Bombyx mori: one gene and its partner. The protein of the gene in region 1 purifies or fractionates together with the protein of each later gene. This does not show direct contact. Links are inferred from orthologs where the notes say so. Each region holds a gene or a part of one and is shown on either strand. Other genes may lie near its edges.

What was found. The genes of interacting proteins can lie anywhere in the genome.
Region 2: the proteins of sec13-like protein (region 1) and nuclear pore complex protein Nup85 purify together in Homo sapiens (affinity purification with western blotting; 4 studies listed by BioGRID and IntAct, with this or other methods). This does not show direct contact. The link is inferred for Bombyx mori from reciprocal best matches to the Homo sapiens genes SEH1L and NUP85.

What each region holds. Positions count from the first base shown.
Region 1 is NC_085125.1:13,430,526-13,436,811, reverse strand, and holds the start of sec13-like protein, read right to left. Parts: upstream 3,904-6,286; 5' UTR 3,857-3,903; coding exon 3,722-3,856; intron 3,542-3,721; coding exon 3,385-3,541; intron 2,573-3,384; coding exon 2,419-2,572; intron 1,995-2,418; coding exon 1,887-1,994; intron 1,566-1,886; coding exon 1,449-1,565; intron 549-1,448; coding exon 390-548; intron 1-389. UniProt on the Homo sapiens protein: Component of the Nup107-160 subcomplex of the nuclear pore complex (NPC). The Nup107-160 subcomplex is required for the assembly of a functional NPC.
Region 2 is NC_085123.1:527,843-534,218, reverse strand, and holds the start of nuclear pore complex protein Nup85, read left to right. Parts: upstream 1-2,590; 5' UTR 2,591-2,703; coding exon 2,704-2,778; intron 2,779-2,850; coding exon 2,851-3,543; intron 3,544-4,172; coding exon 4,173-4,295; intron 4,296-4,796; coding exon 4,797-5,012; intron 5,013-5,393; exon of another isoform or gene 5,394-5,765; intron 5,766-5,910; exon of another isoform or gene 5,911-6,376. UniProt on the Homo sapiens protein: Essential component of the nuclear pore complex (NPC) that seems to be required for NPC assembly and maintenance. As part of the NPC Nup107-160 subcomplex plays a role in RNA export and in tethering NUP96/Nup98 and NUP153 to the nucleus.

The DNA of each region.
Region 1 (6,286 bases):
GGTGTTCTGTTTATAGTGCCGCAGAAATGAACCATATTTTTCAAACGGTACCTTATCATCATATCGACGCTTGAAAGGCAAACATGACTAAGCGACAATGCGTGAACTTTACAGTAGACTAATTTAAAGTTGAAATACCTGAAAAAAAATCTATTTTAACGAATCTAGCTGTAGGATTGAAATTATTTTAATAGACCTAGTAATATATATTTTTTGCGCATTGAATACGGTTATTGCCTATCATTTATGTACAAAGCAGTTATTGTCGCTTAGTCACGTTTGCCTTTCAAGCGTCGATATGCTTACCGGCCCTTCTGTGAATTTTAACGGAAATTTTACACTTTGCATCATCTGTAGTCATGTCAATGACAAGATAATAAAGTACTCACGAAAGTGGTTCGATTTTAATGATTCTCAGGTCCTTGGCGGCTACGGCGAGGAGATGGAACGAGCGGCCGAGGTTCGGAGCGAAGGCGAGGTCGTTGACCGGCTCCTGGACGGATGACAGACAGTCCGTTCGCGTCCAACGACGAGACGTTTCACTGTATCTGAACACAAATTTAATTAATTTTTTTTGTTTAGCTTCATAAGAGTTTTTATTACGTACACAGCGGTACCATTGTGGCGGGTAGCCATCACAGAACACAAGATATTTGCTAGATGCCTGAATCTGGCTTACGACATTTTCAAGATAAGCCTGCATATTTATTTATTTTTTCCCACCTAATCTGATAGCCTTGAGAGGCTATATCAGCTTCGCCTTAACTAGTAGGTGAGCTCACGGGGCTGAAACCTGATGACGTTGCTAACACGAACCCTAGCAAGAGCCGTGCTTCGCAGAATCTACCACCGGATCGGAAACGCGACCCACTGAGAAGATCCGGCGAGAAACTCAGTGGGCTGTGTCTGAGGGTTAATTTACTCGTCGAGCCCTTCGTCGCAAGCGACGGGTTCGACGAGAACAATGACCGGTGCTTGAGGTACCTAAAAGCACCGTTAGTGGATCGGGAGGATCCGAAATGACGTGTTTGGGGCGACGTCGACTGCTTTCCATTCTGTCCGCAGGATCGGGAATGGAACTTGCATATATACAAGTTCTGAACATCAACATTCGGACTGTCTGTCACCCGCTCGGTTGAATATCTTCCTTTTGTCGTATACTCTCCAAACTATGACAAAAATCTTCCCTGGGCTATAGACAACTATAAAAATTTGCAAATCTATCAAGTAAATGAATGAAGCCAAATGTTTACATTCACTACAAATACAATACAAAAACTGATAGTTTTAAATCACTGCTAACAGTAGACATTGTCAATGGCAGGGGCACATCCAAGTCACTGTCTAGAATTATCATTATTTCAAGTAATAAGTATTTTAGATATTTACATATAAAAGTAAAAGTGTATATTTAATACATGGATTACAACATATAAATTAATACTTACTCATAAATAAAAACTTTTCCATTACAAGCTGTGCTCTTATCAGATGGTACTGATGCTAAGGCATTTGTTGTGTTAGGTTCATCGCTGCCTACTGCCAACATTGGTGGGTTTCCTACCCTAGAAAAAAAATGCAATATTGAAGATATTATAAAAAAGTCACTAATACAAGCCAACAGAACAGTTTTATTTTACACAGTAAAAACACAATTTGCTCCCAAAAACTCTCTCTTACTCTCACTTTCAACCTCTAAACTAAATTCCCTGCTGTTTTATGAGTATCTGGGGACTTAAAAGAGCTCTTTGTTGACTACACGTTATTATTGTTGTTGTTGTTGTTGACTGTTGTTGTTGACTACTTGTTGTCCATAAGTGACTATATCCAGTTACGATCAGATGGGCTATTTGCTACATCCAATTATAATAAAAATACATACCTACCTAGACAATGAAGGGTTCCATGATAAACAACTAATTGAAACTTTCGTCGGTATCTCGTGCTGGAGGGTCCATTGTGCCAAATTCATCACATCCGGAGCCTCATATATTCTGTAAATCAAACAGAATGTTGTTTTCGCTTCAAACAGATTAAAGTGAGAAGATGAAGAGCAGTATTGCTATACCAGTAACAACATAGCCTTATGTGGATTCTGAGGTCAACTATTTATCTAGAACGACACAGAATTAATTCAAATGAAAAATGGTAATTAGCTGAATTTAATTGTTGAAAATGTAGAAAACCAGGTAATGCTTACAGCTTAGATTACATTAGTAGCTGCCAATATTGTTACATAAATCATCACTCACATTTAGACCCAAATTCTTAACCATCTAGTAAAACAGCCTACAAATTAGAAAACGAGACTGTTTCATTGCAGAAATAGGCAGGGTGGTAGTAGCTATCAGTTTATGCTTGAAATAAGTAGTACCAGGAGGTTTTACTGATGTGTAGTGTTATGGATCAACATAATACCTTATAATGCCATCAGCTGAGCATGTAACTAGTAGTAGACCTAAATGTTTAGGTCCAAATTTAACATCTGTTACTGAAGTTCTTGAATCAACGAGGTTTGACCGCTTCAGCCATGTACGTAAACTCTTTTCAGAGCCTGTTGCTGTGGTGTCACCTGAATACAATATTGAATACATATTTATTTGAACCAATCATTTTGAACTATATACTCCTACTATTCTGCACTTGGCTTGTGTATATCTCTGCATGACTAGTGATGGTGCTAGTGATGACTAAATAGGCCATTCTTTGGTCACAGTTTTTCACACTTTATGTCTGTTAAAATTTATATTATTTTGCAACTTCCAAGCTAGGTTTCCTAGAATGTAATTTTTTTATTGCTTAGGTGGGTGGACGAGCTCACAGCCCACCTCATGTTAAGTGATATGGGATCTAAGATCTCAGTCTGTCTACCCAAACACAAAAAACTAATGAAAGCTTTCAGAAGTACATTGAATGTACCATGATGCAAAACTATGAAAAGCAGGCACCCTACACCTTACATTCTGCAAAAAATGGGTAAATTGTGGCTAAAACTTACAAGAATATACTATAATCTATATATATAAAAATGAATTGCTGTTCGTTCGTCTCGCTAAAACTCGAGAATGGTTGGACCGATTTGGCTAATTTTGGTATTGTATTATTTGTAGAGGTCCAGAGAAAGTTTAAAAGGTAGCTAAATATAAAAATGCTCAGAATTAAATAAAAATAACAATTTTGTTTTCCTTTAATATGTCCCCCGCCGGAAGGATTCCTTTTTTTGTTTTAGGTTTATTTTATACAAAAGTTTAGTTTATTTATTGATTGAGGCACTACGAAGTCTGCCAGGTCAGCTAATTATACATAAAATATATTATAAAACAACTCATCTAGAAAAAGTAATAAATTTAATGCTAAATGGTATGAACAAATGGTTCCACATACCCACTTCCTCCCAAATAGCAGCTGTTCTATCAAAGGAGCAAGTCGCAATGACCTGTCCAAACTCTGGGTGGGCCCATGTAACTTTCCAAACAGAGCCGTGATGAGCCTTCCAGCTCGCTGTCATCCGCCAGCCTCCATGCCCGTCTGTGTCCCATATCTAAGATAAAAAATAACATATTCCAAATTATTAACTTTCACGATTGCTTATTACTACGAAGCAACAAAGCTTTCGTGAATTACCAGAAGACTAAAAAAATTTCATTTTACCACGTTTTACAACTATACGTACGTAAAACAAAGGTACGTACTCTAATTAAAAATAATATAAAGAATGTACCTTTACGTATTGATCACTGGAACAAGTGGCCATTCTCTCCCCGTAGAAGTCGTACGCGACATCGTGAATAAGGTCTTTGTGATCGGCATGTATCGTTTGGGCCTCGAAAAGGTTCGTAGCTATGTTTTCACTCATTGTTATTATGAACTAACAGTGTTTTTTCCGTTACATTAATCCCAATTTATAACCTCAAATTAACAGAAAATGACATTAATGACAGTAATAATTCCATTTTTCAATATGAAAGGCGAAAGTATCACTTCATACAGACAATTTTTTTTTATATTCTGTTAAATGAAAAACAACGTAAAGGGAAAGATTATATGGATGAAATTAAATAAAATGAGGTGAGATGGGATGAAATAAAGTCACAGTAAAATGACAGTTATTTAAAGAGACTTTAGTGGACTTTTTGGAAGAGTCCGAAAAGCCATGTCAAGCGACTGTTTCATTTTCCCACATGCGCTTTTACGGATGCAAAACAGTAATTAAAGCACCATTACTACACGTTTAAGCCTTCGTCAAACAGAACGCGTACTTAGCGCGCGTCAGAGCGCTAAACTAACGCCGCGCTATGACGCCGAGATGTATTGTACTACTACGGTATTATACCGTCAAACAGAGCGCCAGCGCTATAGCGCTCATAGTATAGTAGTACAACACATCTCGGCGTCATAGCGTAGCGCTCTGACGCGCACTAATTACGCTTTCTGTTTGACGAAGCCTTTAAGCCTGAAGAAACACTAAATTAAATAAAAAACAATACACACAACTTCGGTCCTGGCGTTTCCGCCAAAAACTCGTTCATTTGTGTCTGTCTGTCCATCTTATTCTTTAGGTCACCACAATTGTTTTACAGGATATCGATAAAGGATTTAATCTCATCCCCAGCAATTAAGCGGTCCTTCCCGGAGTGGCACCCATGTAGATTAAATGGGAGAAACTTGTGGTAACTTGGGAAAACTTGTTAAAGAGCCTCAGTCCATGAATGAAAACAGCATAGATAATAATAATTTATAATATATAATTTATAAAAGGGAAGCAATTCAAGCAGTTCGTACCCCACACGACGGAAGACCAATGCTGTAAATAACAGTGGTCTTTCGTTAGACGTTAGTACCCGCCTTACCATGTTTTTCTCCCAACATCGATGTCGTATTTATTACCTACCATTCCTACACTAAGATCTATAGATGTGTGAAAAGGCTCATGATATACTTTGAAAAAAAAAACAATTAAAAATTATAGGCATTTAATAAAATTAGTAGTGTACTAGCTAATTTAATTACATAGATTAACAAGGAAGCTAATATTATTTATAAATATAACAAATTCATACACAAAAATACATCAATTATTAACATTATTGTCAAAATAAACACGAAAACAGAACAATTTAGATAGATGCAAAATTTGTATATGATTAACTAATTATGAGTGTGATAATTTTCATTAAACAGATCTCCAATAACTTGACCAATTTGTCAAATAGACAATTACGTATTTTTTTTTAATTTACTACACACTTTAAGTGTTCAATGATAATATTTAACATTTGTTAAATAAAAAGAGGAGTTGAAAATATGTTATGTTTATTATTTTTAAATTACTTACAAAGAATCCGTTCCTAAGGACCCTATACTATTAGGTATTGATGCCGGAATATTTATTACAAATTTACTTTATTTAATTTACATTACAAACACAACGAAAGAGACAAAAAATAATTTAAATATTGGAAATTTTTAAGTCCGTAATTTTACGAACGGTATTAAATTTGGCACAACTATTATTTATATGTGTATAAGTATATTAAAATTAACAAAATGTCTTTCAATTATTATTTTACAGTTTTAAAAATATTCTACCTAGGATTATGAAAAGTCAACAACATTTCATTAATTTTTTATAAAATATGGCAATTGAGATTGCAGCTCAGCTGATAATAAGTGGCAGGCATCGCTTAGAGACGCTACAGTGTAACGTCTGTTAATAGGTCCTAACAAACTTAAAATGAATTCGAATGGTTCTGAAAATCAGTTCTTTTAGGGACAAAACTTATTCGTATTGAGTGACGCGCCTATACCGGTAGATACTGATGTATTGTGGGGACGCATTGGTATTGCCATCCTATTTCCGGTCGCCTAAAAGACTGCACAGCCGCTAGACGACTTTCTCATAGTGCAATGGACGACGATCAACGCTTAATACCATCAGATCCCTTACCCAGCTCAATGGCATAAAAGGAGACATAAAAATTACTAAAATGATGCTACAAGCGTTTATAAATGAATTCGCAGTCAGCAGAAATAACTTCAATGTTAATCCTACTATTAATTTGGCAAAAAAATGTTTACTTTTTTTTTGGTATTTTCATAAGTAATGTCTACTTTACTTTTTGTTTTGCTCCTAACATCCTACCCGCAATCTTCAGTCTATGCCTGACCGTGACGCTTGCAACACGCCGAAATATCGACAACTCGTGAAATGTGAAAACCGTAGTATGAACCTGTTAAATAACAATTGTGTAATATAAATAATTGTAAATAATAATAAGTGTGTGTA
Region 2 (6,376 bases), on another chromosome or scaffold:
TTATATGTAGCTTGTCCATCTATTGCTTTATATGAGATGAATTTAATTATAATTTTTCCATTTTCATCAAAACACAAATAAAGCACTAAAATGGCCTTTACACTATTTAAATGTCAAAATCTCAATCACATAATGTGTTAGGTGTTGAGATAAAGAAGAACCAGTGTCAATTAGCATACAGGGGTGATCTAATAATTCTAATAATAATCTCATCGAAACTCCTAAATAACTGGGATTTTATAAACCCCAACATCAGAACCACAATTGTTTGTGAGTTTGCATTTATGTTGTTGATTGTTTTTATGACTTTTTTCTTGGGGTGTTGGGTCTATATGTCACACATACCTAGGTAAGCTATTCAAAGATGTCTTATCTGAAAAAGGGTGTCACAGCCATTTACAATACATTGAAATAATTTACAATTTTAAATGTGCAGTTAGAAAGTTTAAATTTGGAAATGAGTGTTAAAATAGTCAAGAGTTGGAATTCACAGCTAAAAGAGAATTTTTGTATGAGCTATGATAACAAATAAAATGAAATGTTGCTTTGATATGATAAAACATGTACATGTACAACATTCAAGGTTACTGGACAGAGGTAACATCCAACTTGCACTGCAAGTATTCAACTTACACAATGTTTACACCAAAATATTTCTTCACCACAAACACTTCACAAGTAACACCACTAGTCTGAGCTGTGCACAGGTACGAACGACGAAACAGTAATATTATACTAGATATCATTCAATGATAATTTTTTATCACATCAACTACGATAAATTAGTACACAGAATCTTCTACGATCGCCGAACGTCACGGTACGACACAGAACACAACACGACCGCCGAAGCGGGTTTCTGCGGCCTAATTCACTCGGTTTAGTTTTTCACCGCTCGCTACGTCACAGTCGCGGTTGCAGCTCACGGTTTTTGTATCAATATTATGGCCCCTAGACGAGGTGAAGGCCTCAATGATTCGGATCACTCTAGAAAGTCAGGTCACATGAAATATTAAGAACTAAACTTACCAAAAATAGTTAAATCCGACTTTGACAACAAACGAAAACTTTCAAGTTAAATTGTTTTTATATTGGATATCGCATTATATTAATTAAAACGTCGAGTTATATTATAACAGTTGACTTACTTTATAATTTTGTTGTAAAATAATATACCGTTTACAAAACAGTTTTTGACGAATTGAAACTGTCAAGATTTAATTCATGACAAAATCAACAATATGTCCTCCAACAGGTCATCCGGTCAGCGACATTACTTATTAAATAAAAATGCAAAGTCATCAAATGTTCACGTACCTTTATACCTTGTAAATACTGGAAGGATTTAATTTCAGGGTAAATATAAACTTAAAAACTTTTTTTATTATAGGGGATAAACGTTTCACAATGAATCACGAGCGTCAAACTACGAAAACAAACAAAAACGTCAACTGTCAATGCATACCTTTTTAAAATATGTTTACGGCTATCATACTCGACTTTTTAGTTATCTTGGGTTAAAGTTTGTCTAGCACTGTTGGCCGTATGTTCGTGTATTTAAAGTTTGTAAGAAACTTTTCGGCGGGGAGGCAAGGTAACTGTATGGATTATTTTATTTTGTTAATTTAGTGTTGCTTCTAGTTTAAACGTATAATCATGGTAGATTATCAATCGTTTAGCATCTGTGAAAGTGCAGAAGTTGAAACCCGAAGTACAAAAGTCGAACGCGAACGAAATTACATGTAGATTTCAGTAAATTTCATTATTGGGTATCACTGTTCTGTCTGTTTCTAAAGCATAACAGTTAGAAAGCGTTCCGCTATGAAAGGTGGACTACATAGTCTATACAATACAAATGAGTCTTTGATTTTATGTTTTGTGATCGGTGGCAATATTAACGTAGTGCTCGGTGCGACACGATAATCTATTTAATGTGACCGCTGCTTATTACATATCCGACTCAAAGGACGAGGCAACGTAAAATTACATCGCGAAACATGACCTATCCGATCCTTTCACTCACGGTTACTTTCTTCATCAATCACGTCAATTGCGACGAAGTTTTCGATGATCGAATTAACTCATAGACACAACCCACTGCGTTTCTGGCCGGATATTCTCAATGAGTCGTGATTCTGATCGGGTAATAGATTTTGCAGCGGCACTGTTCTTGCTAGGGCTAGTGTTAGCAAATTTTCTCAGGTTGAATTTCTGAGCTCATCTACTTGTTTGCGCGTAGCTGAAATAGCCCCTTAGACACCAGCGAATAGACAACGAATTATAAAAAATAACAGGTGCGTATTGCTCGTCAACTTATCTAAATCTAATAGGAAGGAATGAAACCAAATTGAATCATCTGAAATTGCAATGAGATGAGATGAGGTGACGTCGAAATAGAATTGTGTGCGTATTTTTGAAAAAGATACCGCTAAGCCATGTCCTGCGATTTTGTTTTATTTTCTCACACCTGCCCATATACACATGCTAAAAGATTACTAACCCACTATTATTACGCATTTGACCAAAAAGAATAATTGGCTGTATGGATTTTGTTTCCTTTGCTTTCACCTTGTTCTATGTGTGAAACAAATAAAAAAATCAGCGCATTTGAAACGGCGGTTTCTGATCAATTCTGTTTCGCATTCAAATGTTTACAAAATTTTATGTGAAATTGCATTGTGTACATGAAAGATTTAATACAAAATGAATATAACGACTTTTTCTAACAATAATGTTCGTGGCGATGATAGTAGTCCTATTATTCGAGCTAAAACATTTGTAAGTAATTAACATGATTCAACGAATATATAGGTTATGTTTGAGTTAAGTTATTTTTTTTGTTTCTTACAGAATATACCAGAAAAATGTTTCAATAAGGGCGTAGGATGTGCGTGGAGGAGTGGTAACAAGTTTTCTATCTACCCACGCAGTCAAACTGTTTCGAAAACACCAAAAAATGATGTCGAAAACAAAATACTCAATATACGTCACGAGATTGTATTATTTCATCCGATTTTACGAAAACTGGTAAACGAATCCAATGGTACATATTTATCTCTGCAGAAACTCGTCGATTCTTCAAAAAATAATGACAATCACGTGGAATTATTAAAACTTTCACGACAATATCGTTCTATTATAAGAGTGTGCATTGAAAACTTGCAAGAAGCCCTTAATGATGCGAAAGACGGCAGCGACATGATCAATTTACAATCATACATTACAATATTTTATTCTGTTGAATGTATTTGGCATTTATGTGAGATCCTTTACATAGATAAGATTCCCGGAGACATTGTGTTGCCATACCTCCTAGAATGGGTTCGATTCCATTTTCCGTGCCATGAGCAGACTGCAGCGCAGTTGCTGGAGGCCTGTGAGCGAGGTTCAGAAGACCACGATGACTATTGGGATACTGTGATTGGCATGGTTGTGCAAGGGCGAGTAGATGTCGCCCGAGCTCTACTGAAATTAAATTCATTATCAGAAACAAATGAATTTAAGCTTGTTGATAATTCATTACGGAGTATGCCTGTTTATAGTGTGAGTATAAAAATGAAATATAATTTCTAAAGTCAAATTATCATTTAAATTCCTCACAAATAAAGGGAACAATTGATTTTCATTAAGTATTCCACAGTATAAATTAATTAAGAGCAAAAATTATACTTTGGATAGTTAAGAGACAATTTATCTGAACAATTCCATCACCATTTAGAGATGTTTGGAACATGCTAATAAGATATTTTATATGAATGTTTTTTCTTTATGAATGAAAGATTACTGGTGGCCCGGAGGCCTTTCCAGTTTCACCAGGACAGGTGGGCGAGTAAAGGCTCAGCCATATATGAACTTTACTCTTGTCTTATTAGATTTTTATGTCTAAACTACTGAATGACTGTTCACATGATATAGGTTATAGTCCACACATGTCAAACTTCAGCTGGAAAACTATTTTGGGAAAAACAATTAACACCATCAAAATTTATAAATTTATGTTATTATTAATTTATGTAACCATTGTGTCAGATCAAAGACTTCATTGTGGTTATGAAAAGTTGTATATTATTAAACAAATTTAACCTGGGATATCCTATAGCTAAAAGTTCGATCTTACCTCACATCTTGCCATAAACACTTTACATCTACATAACATGGATATAAAATTACAGATATATGGTGGTATATCAACTGGGGAGTTTACAGTAACTTGGAAGCATTGGCAGGCTGAATGCAGAGCTAAGGTTACTAGCAGAGTGTTGGCATCACAACCAAAACTTGAACTTATTATGAGAGTAAGTAAAGATGTGTGAATCAATTAAGTAACTGCATAAACTAGAAACTGTTCTTGTCCTCAAAATTCTTAGATTAAAGTGTATACCACCATCATCATCATTTACTACATTCAAAAAATTTGTAAAATTACCTATTTATCTATGCTAATTTCCCCGTTCTAAGCCAAATCAAATAGGAACATGGCAGATGCAAGCATACCTGTTGAATAACGGTAATAATAACAGCATAATATACAGCAAATAAGAACATTTAATTAATTTAATCAGTTAATCTATAACTTCAAAATAAATGAGTTATGATTTGAATATTGTGAAATGAATTTTTTTCTTAATTGAAAATGTTTTCAAGAATTATTTTTTTATATTATTAAGTGGTTCATTAATTAACACTAAGTCTTAAAATAGGCTTTAGGAAGATGAAGTGAGCTAATTAGGCTTATTTTTTATTATACTAAAACATTGTGTAATTCGTTTACTAATTTATACAATTTTGTCCCACAGTTAATCATAGGAGAATATTCAGCATTTGAGTCAATACGTAGCACATACACATCGTGGTTTGATATGTTGGGAGGCTACGTAATGTTCACAGCACCTTGGTCTAGGACTCATGAGTTGTCTGCTGCAGCATCGGCCTGTGCTGGAATGGGATCTATGCCCTCAGGCTCTAGGCTGGATAGGACTTTACGGGCATTGTTGGAAGGTGATATGCATCAAGTAAGTGACAGATGCCAGTAAGCTGGTAAAAAGATTAGTTAAATTTTTAATTAATTGGTACAGCCTGGCCATATACAAAGCACTGCGCAACCGGTGCAACCATTTGTGCAGAGATGCTAAAAGACTTTACTTTCACAAATCACTTGAAAATCGCAGCCCTGCTCATACTTGGAGATTCCTTAAATCTGTCGGCATTGGCAAAACTCCGGTCTCTTCTGTCAAGGATACTGACTTGTGCGCCCTCAATAAGCATTTTTCTCTCCCTCCTGTGTCACTCAGTGATTCGTCAAAGACGGCCACGTTGCTTAAGATTTCAAGTCTATCCGTACCCCGGATCCCTATTTTTGACTTAAGTCCAGTCTCGGTTGCTGATGTCCGTAATTCCTTTTTCTCCATCTCATCCACGGCTGTTGGAATTGATAACGTATGCTCTAAAATGATTGCCCTAATTCTTCCAACGGTAGCACCTATACTTACCCATATTTTCAATTTTTCCTTTACCTCTAGCAACTTTCCTGATTCTTGGAAACAAGCCTACGTTGTTCCTATCCCAAAAAGCCCCAATCCTATTTTGCCATCTCAGTTCCGGCCTATATCTATACTTCCTTTTCTTTCCAAAGTCCTTGAGCACATTGTCCACCGTCAGCTGTCGTCTTTTCTCCTCTCCCACAATCTTCTTAGCTCCTTCCAATCTGGTTTTCGCAAGGGCCACAGCACGGTTACAGCTCTTCTAAAAGTGACCGATGACATTCGCTGGGCCATGGAAAACAAACAACTAACTTTATTAGTGTTGTTAGATTTCAGCAGCGCTTTTAACTCTGTTGACTTCGATGTTCTGCTCGAAATACTCAAATCAAACAATATCTCCTCATCTGCTATTAACTGGTTTGATAGTTACCTTCGGGGGCGCTCGCAATGTGTCCGTCTTGACGAGATTTTCTCGGATTGGCAGAACGTCAGTGCGGGCGTTCCCCAAGGTGGTGTTCTTTCTCCTCTTCTGTTTTCTGTGTTTATAAACTCTGTCACTAGGCTTATATCTTCTAAATTCCACCTCTACGCAGACGATCTCCAGCTATATCGCCACTTCTCGGAGCCTGAAGTTGAATCGGCTATTGCTGCGATGAACAGTGATCTGAAGTCTATCAGTGAATGGGCAAAAGCCTACGGTCTGCACATTAATCCGGGAAAATCACAGGCTATCATTATAGGGGGTAAACAATTGCGCAGTAGACTCAGCGATCCTATACTCCCCCCAATTTATTTGGATGGGACTCAAATAACTCTAACCGATTCAGTTAAAAACCTGGGTGTTATTGTAGATCGACATCTTTCGTGGAGTTCTCACGTTGCTGAGATTAGTAGGA